Stegostoma tigrinum: one gene and its partner. The protein of the gene in region 1 purifies or fractionates together with the protein of each later gene. This does not show direct contact. Links are inferred from orthologs where the notes say so. Each region holds a gene or a part of one and is shown in the gene's direction. Other genes may lie near its edges.

Region 1 (7,632 bases):
TTTCGCTTGGGCTCATGCGGGACCCATGGCCACCCCCTTTGTCTGTAGGAAGTGGGAGGAATTGAAAGAGAAGTTATTGAGGGTGAGGATGAGTTCAGTTAAACGGATGAGGGTGTCAGTGGAGGGGGACTGGTCGGGCCTGCGGGACAGTGAGAAGCGGATGGCCTTCAGGCCATCTGCATGGGGAATGCAGGGTAAAGGGACTGGACGTCCATGGTGAAAGTGAGGTGTTGGGGACCGGGGAATTGGAAGTTCTGCAGGATGTGGAGGGCGTGGGTGGTGACACGGACATAGGTACGGAGTTCCTGGACCAAGGGGAAGAAAATGGAATCCACATAGGTGGAGATGAATTCAGTGGGGCAGGAGTGGGCAGAAACAATGGGTCGACCAGGGATGGCAGGTTTGTGGATTTGGTGAAGGGGATAGAAGTGGGTGGTGCGGGGTTGGGGAACGATGAAGTTGGAGGCTGGGGGTGGGAGGTCACCTGAGGTGATGAGATTGTGGATGATTTGGAAGATGATGCTTTGGTCCTCGGGGGTGGTGTCCAGGAGGGTGGTAGGTGGAGGTGTTGGAGAGTTGGCATCTGGCCTCAGTGATGTAGAGGTCAGTGCACCATTCTGCAACTGTGCCTCCTTTTTTTTTAACAGCAAGGGTCCATGGATAACAATCAAGAAACCAATATTCATTTTAAAAGTTAATTTAAAAATTGAGAGTACTTATATCTATATAATGCCTAAAAACAGAGGTACTATTTCAAAATTTGGAAACAATACTAAATTGAGAAACTGCAGTAAAATACGAGAAGACATTAAACTTAATGAATGATCTGTGTGTAAAAGTAAAATGACTTTTATTATAGGCAAGTGAGATACAAACATAAAAACAAAGAGATTAGGTGCAGGAGTAGGCCATTTGGCCCGACAAGATTGATTTGCCATTCAATAGGATCATGATTGATCCTCAATCTCAATGTCACATTCCCACTTTCTCTCCATATGCTTTGATGCCTTTAATATCTAAAAAAATCAATCTTTCCTGAATATCCCAGTGACCCAGGTTTCTGTGATACAGAATCCCACAGTTTGACCACCGTCTGAGTGAATAAATATTTCCTCATCTCAGTCCTGAATGGTATACCCCTTGTTCTGAGTCTGTGATACTTGGATTTAGACATCCAAAACAGGGGAAACCCTGGAGAATACAGGCCAGTCAAGCCAATTGCACCACATATGACAGTCTTGCTATCCCCATTTTCAGACCAGTGAACCTTCATTGAACTCCCTCTGCAGCAAATATATCTTCTGTTAGGTAGGGAGACCAAAACCGTGTAAAATACTCCAAGAGTGGTCTTACTGAGGCCTGTATTTGCAGTAAGACATCCCTATTTCTGTAGCCCAACATACTATTTGCCTTCCGAATTGCTTGCTGCACCAGTCTGTTTATACTTGCATTGATTGTCCTATAAGGACATCAAGATTGCTTTGTACATCCACATTTCCCAATATATCACCATTTGAATAACACGCGGCCGTTTTGTTTTTCATACCTAAGTGTATAATTTCACATTTCCACACATTAAACTGCATGTGCCAATGTGTTTTCCAACACAAAACTTATCTAGATCACCCTGAAGTTTCCTTCTCACTATCCCGCCTAGTTATGTGTAATCAGCAAACTTGGAAATGTTGCAGTCAGTTCTCTCATCCAAGTAATTTATAAAAATTGTGAATAGTTAGGGTCCAGGCACTAACTCCTGCCTCACACATCTCATGCCTGCCTGCCACCTGGGAAAAAGACACATTTATTTTCAGTCTGCTTCTGGTCTGTCAGCCAGTTCTCAGGCAATGTGGCATAATTTGGTCAGAAGAACAAGGAGGCCATGTCCTTGGAAAATAAGTGTTTGATTTGGTGAGGATAACAGAGAAATTGAAGCACTTCCAATTTCCCCTGCCGTCACTTTCACCTGGTCTACCTCTGACTCCTCCCTTCCCTTCCTTGACATCTGTTTCCATTTCTGGGGATAGACTGCACACTAATATAGACTATAAACCCACTGACTTCCACAGTTACCTGGACTATACACCCCGCTTCCTGTAAAGGCTCCGTCCTAATCTCTCAGTTCCTCTGTCTCCGTGGTGTATGTTCTGATGCTAACTTTGACAAGGGAGCCTCCAAAATGTCCACATTCTTCCCCAACCGAGGATTCTCCAGCACTGTTGTCGACAGGGCCCTCAACTTGGTCTTACACATCTCTCGCACTTCTGCAGTCACCCCTTCTCTTCCCTCTCGCAACAGCAATAGGGATCCCCTTGTCCTTACCTACCATCTCACCAGCATCCACATCCAGAAGATCATCGGGCGCCTTTTCCATCACCTCCAGCATGTATTCCACTCCCATCCCTGGTCTGCCTTTCAGAGGGACAGTTCCCTCCGGGAAACCCTAGTTCACTCTTCTGTCACCCCAACTGCCCCCCATGGTCCCACGGCACCTTTCTCTGCATCCGGCGAAGGTGTAACACCTGCCCATTTATCTCCTCCCTCCCCACTATCTAAGGGCTCAAACATACCTTCCAGGTGATGCAATACTTCACCTGCACTTCCCAGAATCTAGTCTACTGCATTTGCTGCTCACAATGTGAGCTCTGCTACATTGGGAAAACAAAGTGTAGCCTAGGTAACGACTTTGCAGAACATCTACGTTTTGCTCGCAAAAAAGACCCTGAGCTGCCACTTTGCTGCCTGCCACTTTAATACACCACCCTGTTCCCTGGCCAACATCTCTGTCTCTGGCTTGCTGCAGTGTTCCAGCGAAGCTCAGTGCAAGCTGGAAGAACAACACCTCATTTTCCACTTGGGGACCCTGCAGCCTTCTGGACTCAATACTGAGTTCAATAATTTTAGGGCCTAGACTCTCTCATGTCCCAGCCCCCTACCCCGCACACCAGGCCTTGTTACATCACATAGCTTGCCATTACACACTACTGACTGTTAGTCAGTAACAGTCCTCATTAACAGTTGTGAGGAAGGGTCACCAGACCCGAAACGTTAACTCTTTTCTCTCCTCCACAGATGCTGCCAGACCTGCTGAGCTTTTCCAGCGACTTTGTTTTTGTTCCTCATTAACAACTATTAGCCCTACCAGCCAGATCGTTATCAACTCCTTTGTCGATCCAACTACTCTTTCTCTCTTTGGGATCTATCCTTTATCCCATCATTTACACCTTAACCCCCATTTTCTGCATATAAATTGACTTTTTGTTAGCTAGCGTAAGTTCTGAGGAAGGGTGACTTTGATTTTTTTCGTCACAGATGCTGCCAGAAAAGCTGAGCTTTCCCAGCAACTTGTTTTTGTTCCTGATTTACAGCATCTGCAGTTCTTTTGGTTTTTATTTATTGTTGATCTCGCTCTTTCTACATCTTCTAGCCAGAGACTATTTCCCAGGGCAGAAATGGCTAGCACGAGGGGTCATAGTTTTAAGCTGGTTGGTGGAAAGTATAGAGGGGATGTCAGAGGCAGGTTCTTTACGCAGAGAGTTGTGAGAGCATGGAATGCATTGCCAGCAGCAGTTGTGGAAGCAAGGTCATTGGGGTCATTTAAGAGACTGCTGGACATGCATATGGTCACAGAAATTTGAGGGTGCATACATGAGGATCAATGGTCGGCACAACATTGTGGGCTGAAGGGCCTGTTCTGTGCTGTACTGTTCTATGTTCTATGTTCTATGTTCTCTACAGCCAGATTCTATTTCTGTAATGCACTTTGTATGGTATGATCTGCCTGTAATGCATGCTAAACAAAAGTTTTCACTGTATCTATGTACAAGTGACAGTAATAAATCAAATTGAAAAGAATAACACTAGAACTTGAGAGTTATGCCTATCCAAAACAAAACAAACTGAGTCTCTATAAGAATATGAAAGCAGTTGACAGGGCAGATGTACCAAGGATGTTTCCAGGTGCCATAACAATGACAGTCATGAATCTTCGAGGAAATTTAACCAAAAAGTGAAATTAAGATTCTGCGGTCTCTGCTCAAGGTCAATAGCTCGAATGAAGTGAAGGAGAAGCTAGGTAATTACGTGAGGACAAAAGTAATAGGACGAAATGATAAAGGTTGGAAGCAAGCTCCTCTGCAGCATCCATACCATCAGTTTCTGAGGTCACCGGACCCGACACGTTAACTCTGATTTTTTTCTTCACAGATGCTTGCAGACCTGCTGAGCTTTTCCAGCAACTCCTCTGATCGCATCAGCTCGGCTGAATAAGTTTGTTGCCGTATAAACTACATTTCCCAGGATGCAGCAAGAACAGACGGACCAAGAGGTGGATTGGTTGTTCCCAGGTCACATGGGAAAGAGGCTTCTGCTCATTAATTGGTCTCGACGAGGGGTCTCTGATGGCAATCCAGTGGGAGGAGCCAATAGGCGGCCCGTATATGCAGGGGCGGAGCTAACGGGTCGGAGCCGCCACAAAAGGATCAGAGGCGGCCGCGCGCCCCTAAAAAAGAAGCGAGGCGGAGGACAGAGAATCTTTGAATCTTACCAACCAGAGCTAGCCCACCGAAACCGGGGTGGGGATCCTGCCACCGAGATACCATCCCTGGGATCATGATGAAGTTTCGGTTCCGACGGCCGGGCAACGACCCGCAGCGGGAGAAACTAAAACTGGAGCTTTTCGCCTTCAATAAGGTGGGTGCGTGGGTGAGGGGAGGGGAGGGGAGGCCAAGGGCCTGGGGGTTGGGGAGGATAAGGGTGGTGGGGGATAGGGTATAGTGGAGGGTGGGGAGGGAGGAAGGAGGGACGGTCGAAGGGGGATGGGGTGTAGAGGAGGGGGCGTGGGTAAGTGGGAGATGAAACTATATTTTAACCTTTGGGTGACAGAGCCAGTAATCCAGAGGTCTGAACTAGTGACCTAAAGATTTGTTCAAATCTCAGCATAATAGCCGGCGACTTTAAATTCTCAACTGATGCTAGTGCTGGCAATGATAGCCATAAAGCGAGTAATTAATGTAACAACTGATGCTCACTTTCGGGGAGGAGCCTGCCATCAATTGCCATGTACAGGTATAGGCTCACTGTTAACTTGTTCAACAAATGGTCTATCAAGCCACCTGCTTGTAATTCTGAAGACAGTTCATCATTGCTACTTTTTCAAAGGCCATGAGCCATGGACAGTAAATGTTGGTCTGGTCTCTGATGCCCACACTGTGCCAATGCAACTAATTCTTGCCAGTGACCCTCAAAGAGGGTCTCGTGTTCCTCTGCACCTATCTTCTGATTAATTTTGCCTTACAGGTGTTTCACCTCAACCTTGGCTTTAACTTCAGTGCTTCTTTTTTAAAAAGTCAGGTTATTAATTTTGGTTATTGTGAGATGCCTGGCAAGGCTCCTTACGTAAAGGAAAGGAGAGAACTGCAGTGAGATCATGTGTCCTGAGAGCTGGTTTTAGAGTGGCAGTGATTTATTGGCCTTTGCATTGCTTGACAAGCTTGATTGTGACATGCTTAATTAATTTTGTGGTGGTACTTTAAGCAATAACTATCTATATTAGCACACTTTGGTAATGTCCAACTTGAACTGTAAATTGAAGAGTAAAGTCACAGATTTCATTTCAGCATTGAATGCTTGGATGCCTCTAACAAAGTTCAGAATTGGAGCACTTAACAAATGTGACCAGAAACTATGTACTTTCCAAAACAATGGCATTTCTTCACTGGATGGGCATTGGATGTCCCAAGCTTTAGAGCACACTTGTCATGTAGCCCTGAATCTTGGGGTGGGGGGGAAGCCAGTTTGTGCAACATTTGATTGAGGGCACCTCTTTGCACTGGAACATCACTTTGGGCAAACCAACAATACCTTTCACTGTGGTGCTGGCCTTCCAGGTGCAGAGATTTATCTCTGAGCCTTCCAAAGTACAGCCCATAGCGCAGGAAATGCTTCATCGCTGTGCTGCATCAGGACCATCCTCGACTATAATACCACATTGCTGCCAGACCTTCTATGCATAGGCATGTTCCAGAAGGGGTGCCAGCTTAACGACAGTGTGCAGTGCTGCAAAGTCCAGATGTGTGTAAAAGTTGTGTCGGGCTGCACCTGGTGTTTGTGCACAGAAGGCTTTAGCACAGTTTAGAAAGCATTTTGTGCTATTGCACATGTCTTTTCACCATCCCACTTCCAAATCTCTCTTGTAAATGTTGTTCTCACAGCAGACATACTTTGCAAGATGAGATAGCAAGAACTGTAGATGCTGGCGTCAGATAAATGTGGAGCTGGAGGAGCACATCAGGCCAGGCATCATCAGAGGAACAGGAAAGTTCATGTTTCTGGTCAGGACCCTTCTTCAGAAATGGGAGGACGTGAGCTGGAAAATAAACAGGAGAGGTGGGGCTGGTGAAGGTATGTGGGATGGTGTTGAGTGAATGCAGGTAGGGAGTGGTGGGCATTGGTCAGTGGGATGGTTGGGGTAGATAGGTGGGAGATAAGACAGACAGGTTGTGTGACATCAAGGAGATGGGGATGAGGGCAGGGGTGGGGAGATTTTAAAACTGCTAAATTACATATTTGGGCCATGGGGCTGTAGGTTTGTGAGGTGGAATGTGAAGTGTTGTCTGCCAGGTTCCAGGCGTTGTCATTGTAGCACTGGAGGAGGCCTGGGATGGTCATGTCACCCAGGGTGTGGAAGTGGGAGTTAACAGTTGGCAACTGGAAGGTGATATTGTTTGTTGAGTGAAGGGAGCAGATGCCCTATGAAACAGTCTCCAAGTCTTGCTTGGCCTTGCTGATGTAGAGAAGGCCACATTGGGAGCTGTGGATACAGTAGACCAAGTTGGCATGTGCAGGTGATCCCCTGTTGGATATGAAAGGTTTGTTCAGGCCCTTGGAGTGCTATGAGAATAAGGGGATTCTGTCTTTATTTTCATTGGAGCCATGAGGATGAGGGGGCAGGACTGTGGGAAACAGAAGATGTGGTTGAGGTAACAAAGTGTGGAGCTGGATGAACACAGCAGGCCAAGCAGCATCTCAGGAGCACAAAAGCTGATGTTTCTGGCCTAGACCTAGAAGGGCCTAGGCCCGAAAGGTCAGCTTTTGTGCTCCTTAGATGCTGCTTGGCCTGCTGTGTTCATCCAGCTTCACACTTTGCACCTTGGATTCTCCAGCATCTGCAGTTCTCATTATCACTGATACAATGTGGTTGAGGTCATTTTTCTTCACTGAAGGAGGAAGTTACAGCCCTAATGTCAAAGGAAATCATAACACTTTTCAAGATGTTTGCTCACTCCTGTGTTTTGACACTGGCTACTTTTCATGCAGGAGCTCTGACTGTGATTCTCAGTTGACCTGTTTAGCTGTTAAGAACCCCTACAGTGTGAAAACAGGCCCTTTGACCCAGTAAGTCCACACTGACCCTTGGTGCATCCCACTCAGACCCATCCCTCTTTACCCACCTAATCGACAGACCCCTGAACACTGAGCAATTTAGCTTAGCCAATCCACCTAACCTGCACATTTTTGGACTGTGGGAGCAAACCGGAGTACCCAGAGGAAACCCATGCAGACATGGGGAGAATGTGCAAACTCCACACGCAGTCGCCCGAGGGTGGAATTGAACCCGGGTCTCCGGTATTGTGA
Region 2 (7,618 bases), on another chromosome or scaffold:
ATCAGGGAGGGTGAAAAGTTGCCTGGATGCTCTGTTTCAGGAGCAGTCACACCCCTCAAATTTGGTCAGTGGTCAAGGACAAGAGGGTGTGACTATGAGTGAGGCAAGTAGAGGAATGTGCAGAGGGTAGTGCTGAAGGGGATTTAACCGAGACCTTGTCTGACATGTTTGACATTTTTACTTCCTGTATGGATGAGAAAGGGAGGATGAACAAACTGACCATAGTACCATTGAACAGAGAGACATTCAAGAGGAGAGAAAAAAAGAGAAAAGTAATTGTAATCAGGGATAGTATAGTTAGGAGAATAGACACTGTTCTCTATGGCCAGGATCCAGGGACCTGAAGGTTGAGTTGCCTGCCAGGTTCCCAGGTTCAGGATATCTCAGCTGAGCTGCAAAGAGGCTTGGAGTGGTAGTGGAATGATCCAGTTGGCACGGTCCACATAGGTACCAATGTTAATTGGTAGAAAGAGGGCATAGAGCAGCTCGGGGACAAATTAAAACTCAGAACCAAAAAGATGATAATCTCCAGATTACTACATGAGCCACAGGCTAACTGATACAGGTGCAACAAGATTAAAGAGGTAAACGTGTGGTTCAAAGACTGGTATCGGAGAAATGGGTTCAAATTTATTGAACATTGGCACCAGTCCTGGGCAATGAGGGAACTGTTCAGATGGGACAGGCTCCACCTGAATCATGCTGGGCACAGTCTTGGTGAATCACATAACTATGACTTTAAACTAAATAGCAATGGGGGGGAAGGGGTTCAATTGCAATTATGTAGAAAATTATGGAAAAAGTTTAAGGCTGAGGGTAGGACTCAGCAGAGGTTATTAAAGTTTCCAGAATAAATAATAAGACAAAGAGGATGGAAAGTGTCAGGAATCCAACTTCAGGTATAGCAGATATGGGGACAACTATGAGAAGTGGCAGCGATGGAGTGGAATTAACACAGGACTGAGGGTGTTGTACGAAAATGCATGCAGCATATGAAACAAGGTAAATAAGCTTTTGCACAGTTTGAAATTGACAGGTACAATGTTGTGGGGATCACAGAGATGTGGCTGCAAGAGGAACAGGGCTAGGAACTAAATATTCAAAGATACATGTCCTATGGAAAGAACAGGCAGATGGGCACAGGGGGCTGAGCAGTCTTGTTAGTAATAAATGAAATTAAATCAATAGCAAGAAGTGATATAGAGCAAGACATGTAATCTGTATTGAGGAATGGCAAAGGAGAAAATCACATGACTCCAGCAGTAGTCGGGATTTGGGGAAGAAAATAAATCAGCAGATAGAAAGGACACATTAGGAAAGGCACTTTTACAAAAATGATGGGTACTCCAAAATGCACGTAGACTGGGAAAAGCAGGTTGGTAGCAGATCCCAAGGAAAGGAATTTGTAGAATGTCTACAATATGGTCCTTTGATGCAGCTTGTAGCAGACCCCAGTAGGGAACAGGCAACTATAGATTTGGTGATGTATAATGAGGCACACTTGATTAGGCAGCTAAAGGTGAAGAAACCCCATGAGGCAGTGATCGTAATACGATAGAATTCACTCTGCAGTTTGAGGGAGAGAAACTGGAATCAGATGTAATGGTATTATAATCGAGTAAAGATAACAACAAAGACATGCTCCGGAAGCTGGCCAGAGTTAGTTGGAAGGGGAGCCCAGGAGAGCAGGCAGTGGGGCAGCAACAGCAGGAGTTTTTAGGGGTGATGTGGGAGTCACAGCAGAAATTCATCCTAAGGAAGAAGAAACAAGGCAACTGTGGCTGACAAGGGATGTCACAGACAGCATAAAAGCAAAAACAAAATGATGTGGTGAAGATTAGTGAGCAGCCAGAGGGTTGGGAAACCTTTTAAAACCAGCAATAACTAAAAGCACAATAAGAGGGGAGAAGATGAAATATGAGGCCAAGCTAGTTAGTAACAAATTAAGACTACAAAAGTATTTTCAGATATGTAAGAGGTAAAAGAGTGGCACGAATGTGTAATGATTGCAATGAGGTCAGCCAGGTGGACTTCAAAGAATATGAGTTCCCTGATTGGGGCTGATAATCTGGTTCAAGCAGGGATCCCTTGCTGACAGGTAAAAACAGAAGTGTCAGATATCCCAACACTCTGGGAGTTGACTCTTTTGAGGCTGTACCACCGTCAAGGACTTTCCATGTGTAAATAATGGGTGACTTTGTGATGGGATATCTGCCTGTCTGTAGTTATTTCAGAGTGGACTCAAGAGAATCAGGGGGCAGAGGTAAGCATCATTAAAGAGAAGGTGCTGGGGAAGCTAAAAGGTCTGAAAGTGGATAAATCATCCAGACCAGATGGACTACACCCCAGGGTTCTGAAGAGGATAGCTGAGGAGATTGTGGAGGCATTAGTGCTGATCTTCCAGCCATCAGTGGAGTCAGGGAGCACCCACGGGACTGGGAAAAGACTAATGTAATACCTCTGTTTAAGAAGGCAGGGAGACAGAAGACAAGAAAACATAGGCTAGTTAAGTCCAATTATTAAGGATGAGTTTGCAGAGTACATGAAAGTGCATGGTAGAATAGGGCTGTGTCAGGACAGCTTTGTCAAGGGCAGGTCATGCCAGACAAATCTGTTAGAATTCTGTGAGGAGTAACAAGCAAGTTAGACGAAGGAGAGTCAGCAGATTATGTATTTGGATTTCCAGGAGGTCTATGACAGTGTGCTGCACAGGTTGCTGTTAAATGAGTCCTGACAGAGGCAAGGTACTGGCATAGACAAACAATTGGCTGACTTATAGAAGGCAGAGAGTGGAGATAAAAGCATCGTTTTCATTATTGGTTGGGGATCCAACTCTCATTTTTGTGATAGTTTGATTCCTGTGGTACTGTATCAATTACAGATTCATATAGAAAATGGTCTGTTATCCCAACTCTCTATTTCCTGTTGAATTACCAATCCTCAATCCATGTTAATATATTATCCCAACACCTCAAGCTGTTATCTTGTGCAATAACATCTTTAGGTGGCACCTTTCTGAGCACCTTTTGGTTCAAGTTCACTACATCTGCTAGAGATAATGGGAACTGCAGATGCTGGAGAATTCCAAGATAATAAAATGTAAGGCTGGATGAACACAGCAGGCCAAGCAGCATCTCAGGAGCACAAAAGCTGACGTTTCGGGCCTAGACCCTTCATCAGAGGACCCTCTGATGAAGGGTCTAGGCCCGAAACGTCAGCTTTTGTGCTCCTGAGATGCTGCTTGGCCTGCTCTGATGAAGGGTCTAGGCCCGAAACGTCAGCTTTTGTGCTCCTGAGATGCTGCTTGGCCTGCTGTGTTCATCCAGCCTCACATTTTATTATCACTACATCTGCTAGTTCTCTTTTATTTATCCTGTTTATCACATTCTGAAATCATCAAATAAAATGTCAAAAATCATTTCCCTATAATAAAATTATGCTCACTCAGATCGATAGTGCTATAGCTTTCTAAAGGTCCTACTTCTATTTGCTTGGATTTATACTTTCCCAATCTCAATTTCTGATGGGATCAACGTTAATTACACTCTTCCGTTGTAGAACTCTAGCTGTTTTTATATCTCGACAGTCACTATTTTTTTTCCCTCTCCAAGAGCTTAAGTCAATGTGCGATGGCGACGGAGTAGGGAAGAACATTCGGGAAGGAAAATTGAGTTTTAACAGTTGAGAACGACTAGGGTCTGGAAAGGACCAACAAAACGGGGGAAAAATTCTGAAAACTTTAAAATCGTTAGTGAAACTGATTTTAATTAGCTTCGGCCGCAAGCATTTGATCGAAGAATGAAAATCAAATAATACAAAGCATAAAATCCACAACATTAACTAAAGGTCCTTTAAATAGCATCTGAAAAGAGAATATTCATTTCTAAGGTGATGATGCGGACTAAGTCTTTCATTTTAGGCTTTCTTACATTTATCAGTAAAGTTAGGATAATTATGCCGAACAGATAGCAGAAGTTTCAAACTTGTTCACTGAACTTTGAAAAACTTTTGCTTCAGCTGTTACTCTTGGGATGTCATCCCAGACACCTACTTGATACCTGCTTCCTCAAGGCATGTCTGACACCTGGACGCGCGATGGTGTCAACCACCGCCGGGGGCGCGCGCTTTTAAAAATGCACGAAGGCCGGGCGGACAAGGGAACTAAAGAGTAGGAGCTGCAGCTGCTGAAGAATCTGAGATAACAAGGTGTAAGAGCTGGATGAACACAGCAAGTCAAGCAACATCAAAGGGGCAGGAAAGCTGATGTTTCGGGCCCAGATCCTTCTTCAGACAATAGAATGAACGGGTGTCCGCTCGAAATAATGCAGCGGGTTGAGTGCGCGTACACACACAGGTGAAACCGAGGCTGGGTTTCCGGGGCGAGTGACGTCATCTGGTAACGAAGTCGGAGTTTGCCGGTCGTTAGGAGGGGGCGCGAGGCTGAGCTGCGGGTGGGTGGAGGAGGAACTGGGCACGCGCAGCCGCTACTAACCGGCTGGAGGCGGCGGAACCAGTGTTCGAACGAGTTTGGCGAGGGTCTGAGATTAGTCCCGGATCTTTTACGTACTTTACCCCCACCATCTCCCTCATTGCACTCGGGCCGATTCAAATTGCTGCCCTTGGAAGATCGGGCGAGCAGTTGGCACGAAAACGGCCAACAAACGTTCTTCCGAAAATGATCAAGACTCATCACCGGACGGCGTCCAGAAGCCTGGAGACCGTGGAGGTGAAGAGTAAGGTGTGTGTGTATAAGGAGGCGCAATGTCCGAGGAAAGGCGGAGGGAACTTCGTGCTTTGCCAGTCAGTAGTTGTAGGGAAATTAATACCACGGCCCCGGCTAATGTTGGCATAGGATCTGTCAGCAGGCTGCTGAGGTCAAGGTTCAATCTGACGGTCAGATACAGGCCTGTTCCAAAAGGAGATTTTAGAGCAATATTTTATGTTCTTTTCTACGGTTTGTTTATTGGGAGTTGGAACAGGTGACAGTACAGTTCAAGGAAGTAATAAAGGCGTCGAGATCTTTCAGAGAACAGCCGGCGGCGGTAACAAGTTTTTGTGCAGTTCATTGCGTGTTATTTTAATGCTTCTTGCTTTTGTAAGAAATTTCGTAGTAAAGAGGCTTGTAAATGCCAACACAAAGCAATTAGCGATGTAGCTAAAATTCGTGTTCCCATAAGGATTTGTCTGGAAGCTGGTTAAAATGGAAAGGGAATTTGACGATCCTATGTAAGTTGATCGGTTTCAGCCCAAAAAGAAAGCAATCTGCACTAGATGCACACAGGCTTATAAAAATTTTCTTGTTGTTTGTCAGATCTTACTAACTTGTGTTTTATTTCAATGTGAATTAATGTATTTAAAATAAACAGAATTAAGTGTATTAAGTTGTCAGAATGAAAATTTTTGACTGGTTTTTTGACAGAAACCTACTTTGTGTGCAAACAATTTGGCTATTTTATTGTAATATTAGCAATCATTGCCTGTCTGAATAGACTTAACTACATCCAAAACTCTCTCATCGCATAAATGGCTTGATCACAACTTCCTTAATTAGACCATGTTTCCTATGTACTTAAATGTTTATCTACTGATGCCCAGAGTGGATGGGCTCCCAATTTATCCCAATCACAAAACAACTTGAATGTGTAAGAAATCCATATGTTTCTGTTGAAGTGGAAGGTAGTAAATATACTAATGTTATATTTGCTTCAAATTGAATGTATTGGTAATTTATTAAGCAACTTGACAAAAGTGATCAATGTTTTAGGGTTAGGATCCTTCTTCAGTCCTGACTATATTGACTCTGCCTCCAGCATCTGCCTCAGCCACCAGTTCTTGCTATCTCTGAAGAACAATGAAGATTTCTAGCATTGTAAAATTGTCTGATGTAGAAAATTTAATGATTAAATGTCAGATAGCTGGTCCAAGAGTTAGTTGAAGAAAGGAAGTGGTGTAATAATGACCATGAGCTTCTGTTATTTGTTGGAGAAACCAATCTGGTTCGCTAATGTCCTGTAAGGAAAGAAATTGCCATCCTTCCCTGATTTGATCTAAATGTGACTCCAGACCCTCAACAACATAGTTGATGGTTAACTACCAACTGGATGATTAGTGATGGGCAGTAAATGCTAGCCTACCCAGTGACATACGTATCCCAAAATGAATTTTTTTTAAAAAAAGAAAATATTAAAGTGATAACGTCTTGTATATTCTCAGTTAAGTGATCTGATTCAGGGTGTTACTTTTAGTTTATTTTATTGGCTTCTGTTCTGTTCATAATATTTTGGATGCATTGAATTCGTTGCCTTTTCCAACTCCCCTAGTTTTAAAATACATGATATCCTTTTCAGACTTCAAACATCTAGGATATTGTCATGTCTATAGGTGAACTGGAGTATTTGCTCTTTTAAAACCTTTGTAGAAACAAACCACGATCACTTCATCAACCTCTGGATTCAATGCATCATTCTCCGCCTGTTCCACCATCTACAATCTGACCCACTGCCAAGGATATATTTCCCTCCCCAGCCTTATCTGCCTTCTGGAGGGACTGCTCCGTGTGACTCCCTTGTCCGCTCCACACTCCCCACTAGCCCCACCAGCCCTAACATTTTTCCCTGCAACCGCAAGACTTGCCACACCTGCCCCTACACCTATCCCTACACCTACCCCCTCACCTCCATCCCAGGCCCCAAGAAAATCTTCCACATCAAACAGATGTTCACTTGCACATCTGCTAATGTGGCATATTGTACCCGTTGTTCCCAAAGTGGCCTCCTCTGCATTGGGGAAACTAAGCAGAGGCTTGGACACTGCTTTTGTGGAGCACCTATGCTCAGTTTGTGACAAACAACAACACCTCCCAGCCACGAACCACTTCAGCTCCCCTCCCACTCCTTGGACGACATGCCCATCCTGGGCCTCCTCCATGATGCCACTCGAAGGCTGGAGAAAAAGCACCTCCTATTCCGCTTGGGAACTCTGCAGCCTAATGGTCTCAATGTGGTCTTCACAAGCTTCAAAAGCTCCCCAACCCTGACCTCATCCCAAGACCTGGTTCATCCCCGCCTCCTCGACCTGTCAGCTTTCTCTCCCACCTACTCGCCCCTCCCTCCCTTCCTCCCTCCCTCACTGACCAACCCCCATCCCAACTCCCTACCTACACTCACCCTTACTGGCGTCATTCCTGCCTCCTTGACCTGTCCATCTTCTCTTCACCTATCTGCTCCTCTATCCACCTTCTATCATTGACTCCCCTCTCTCTATTTATTTCAGAGCGCCTTCTCCTCTCCCATTTCTGAAAAAGGGTTCAGACCTGAAAGGTCAGCTTTTCTGCTCCTCTGATGCTGCCTGGCCTAGTGTGCTCATCCAGCTCTACAGCTTGTTATCTCAGATTCTCCAGCATCGACAGTTCCTACTATCTCTAAACAAATAAAATGTTAATTTTGATAGACTGTAGAATTATGGTCTGTAACAGTTGCATTCTAAGTTCCAGATTGGATTGTGTTAGTGCATAATTATCATTGAGCTTCGTGCATTGATCTGTGGAGTTAAATTACATGGGTTAAGATTTTAAAGCCCTCCCACCCATGGTTGTCTTTTAGAAGGCAGCACTTTATTT

Evidence for each region.
Region 2: the proteins of llgl1 (region 1) and pard6b purify together in Homo sapiens (affinity purification with mass spectrometry; 5 studies listed by BioGRID and IntAct, counting the BioPlex papers as one, with this or other methods). This does not show direct contact. The link is inferred for Stegostoma tigrinum from reciprocal best matches to the Homo sapiens genes LLGL1 and PARD6B.

Annotation. Positions count from the first base shown.
Region 1 is NC_081376.1:25,394,793-25,402,424, reverse strand, and holds the start of llgl1 (lethal(2) giant larvae protein homolog 1), read left to right. Parts: upstream 1-4,437; 5' UTR 4,438-4,608; coding exon 4,609-4,689; intron 4,690-7,632. UniProt on the Homo sapiens protein: Cortical cytoskeleton protein found in a complex involved in maintaining cell polarity and epithelial integrity. Involved in the regulation of mitotic spindle orientation, proliferation, differentiation and tissue organization of neuroepithelial cells.
Region 2 is NC_081372.1:40,635,196-40,642,813, forward strand, and holds the start of pard6b (partitioning defective 6 homolog beta), read left to right. Parts: upstream 1-4,488; 5' UTR 4,489-4,675; coding exon 4,676-4,738; intron 4,739-7,618. UniProt on the Homo sapiens protein: Adapter protein involved in asymmetrical cell division and cell polarization processes. Probably involved in formation of epithelial tight junctions.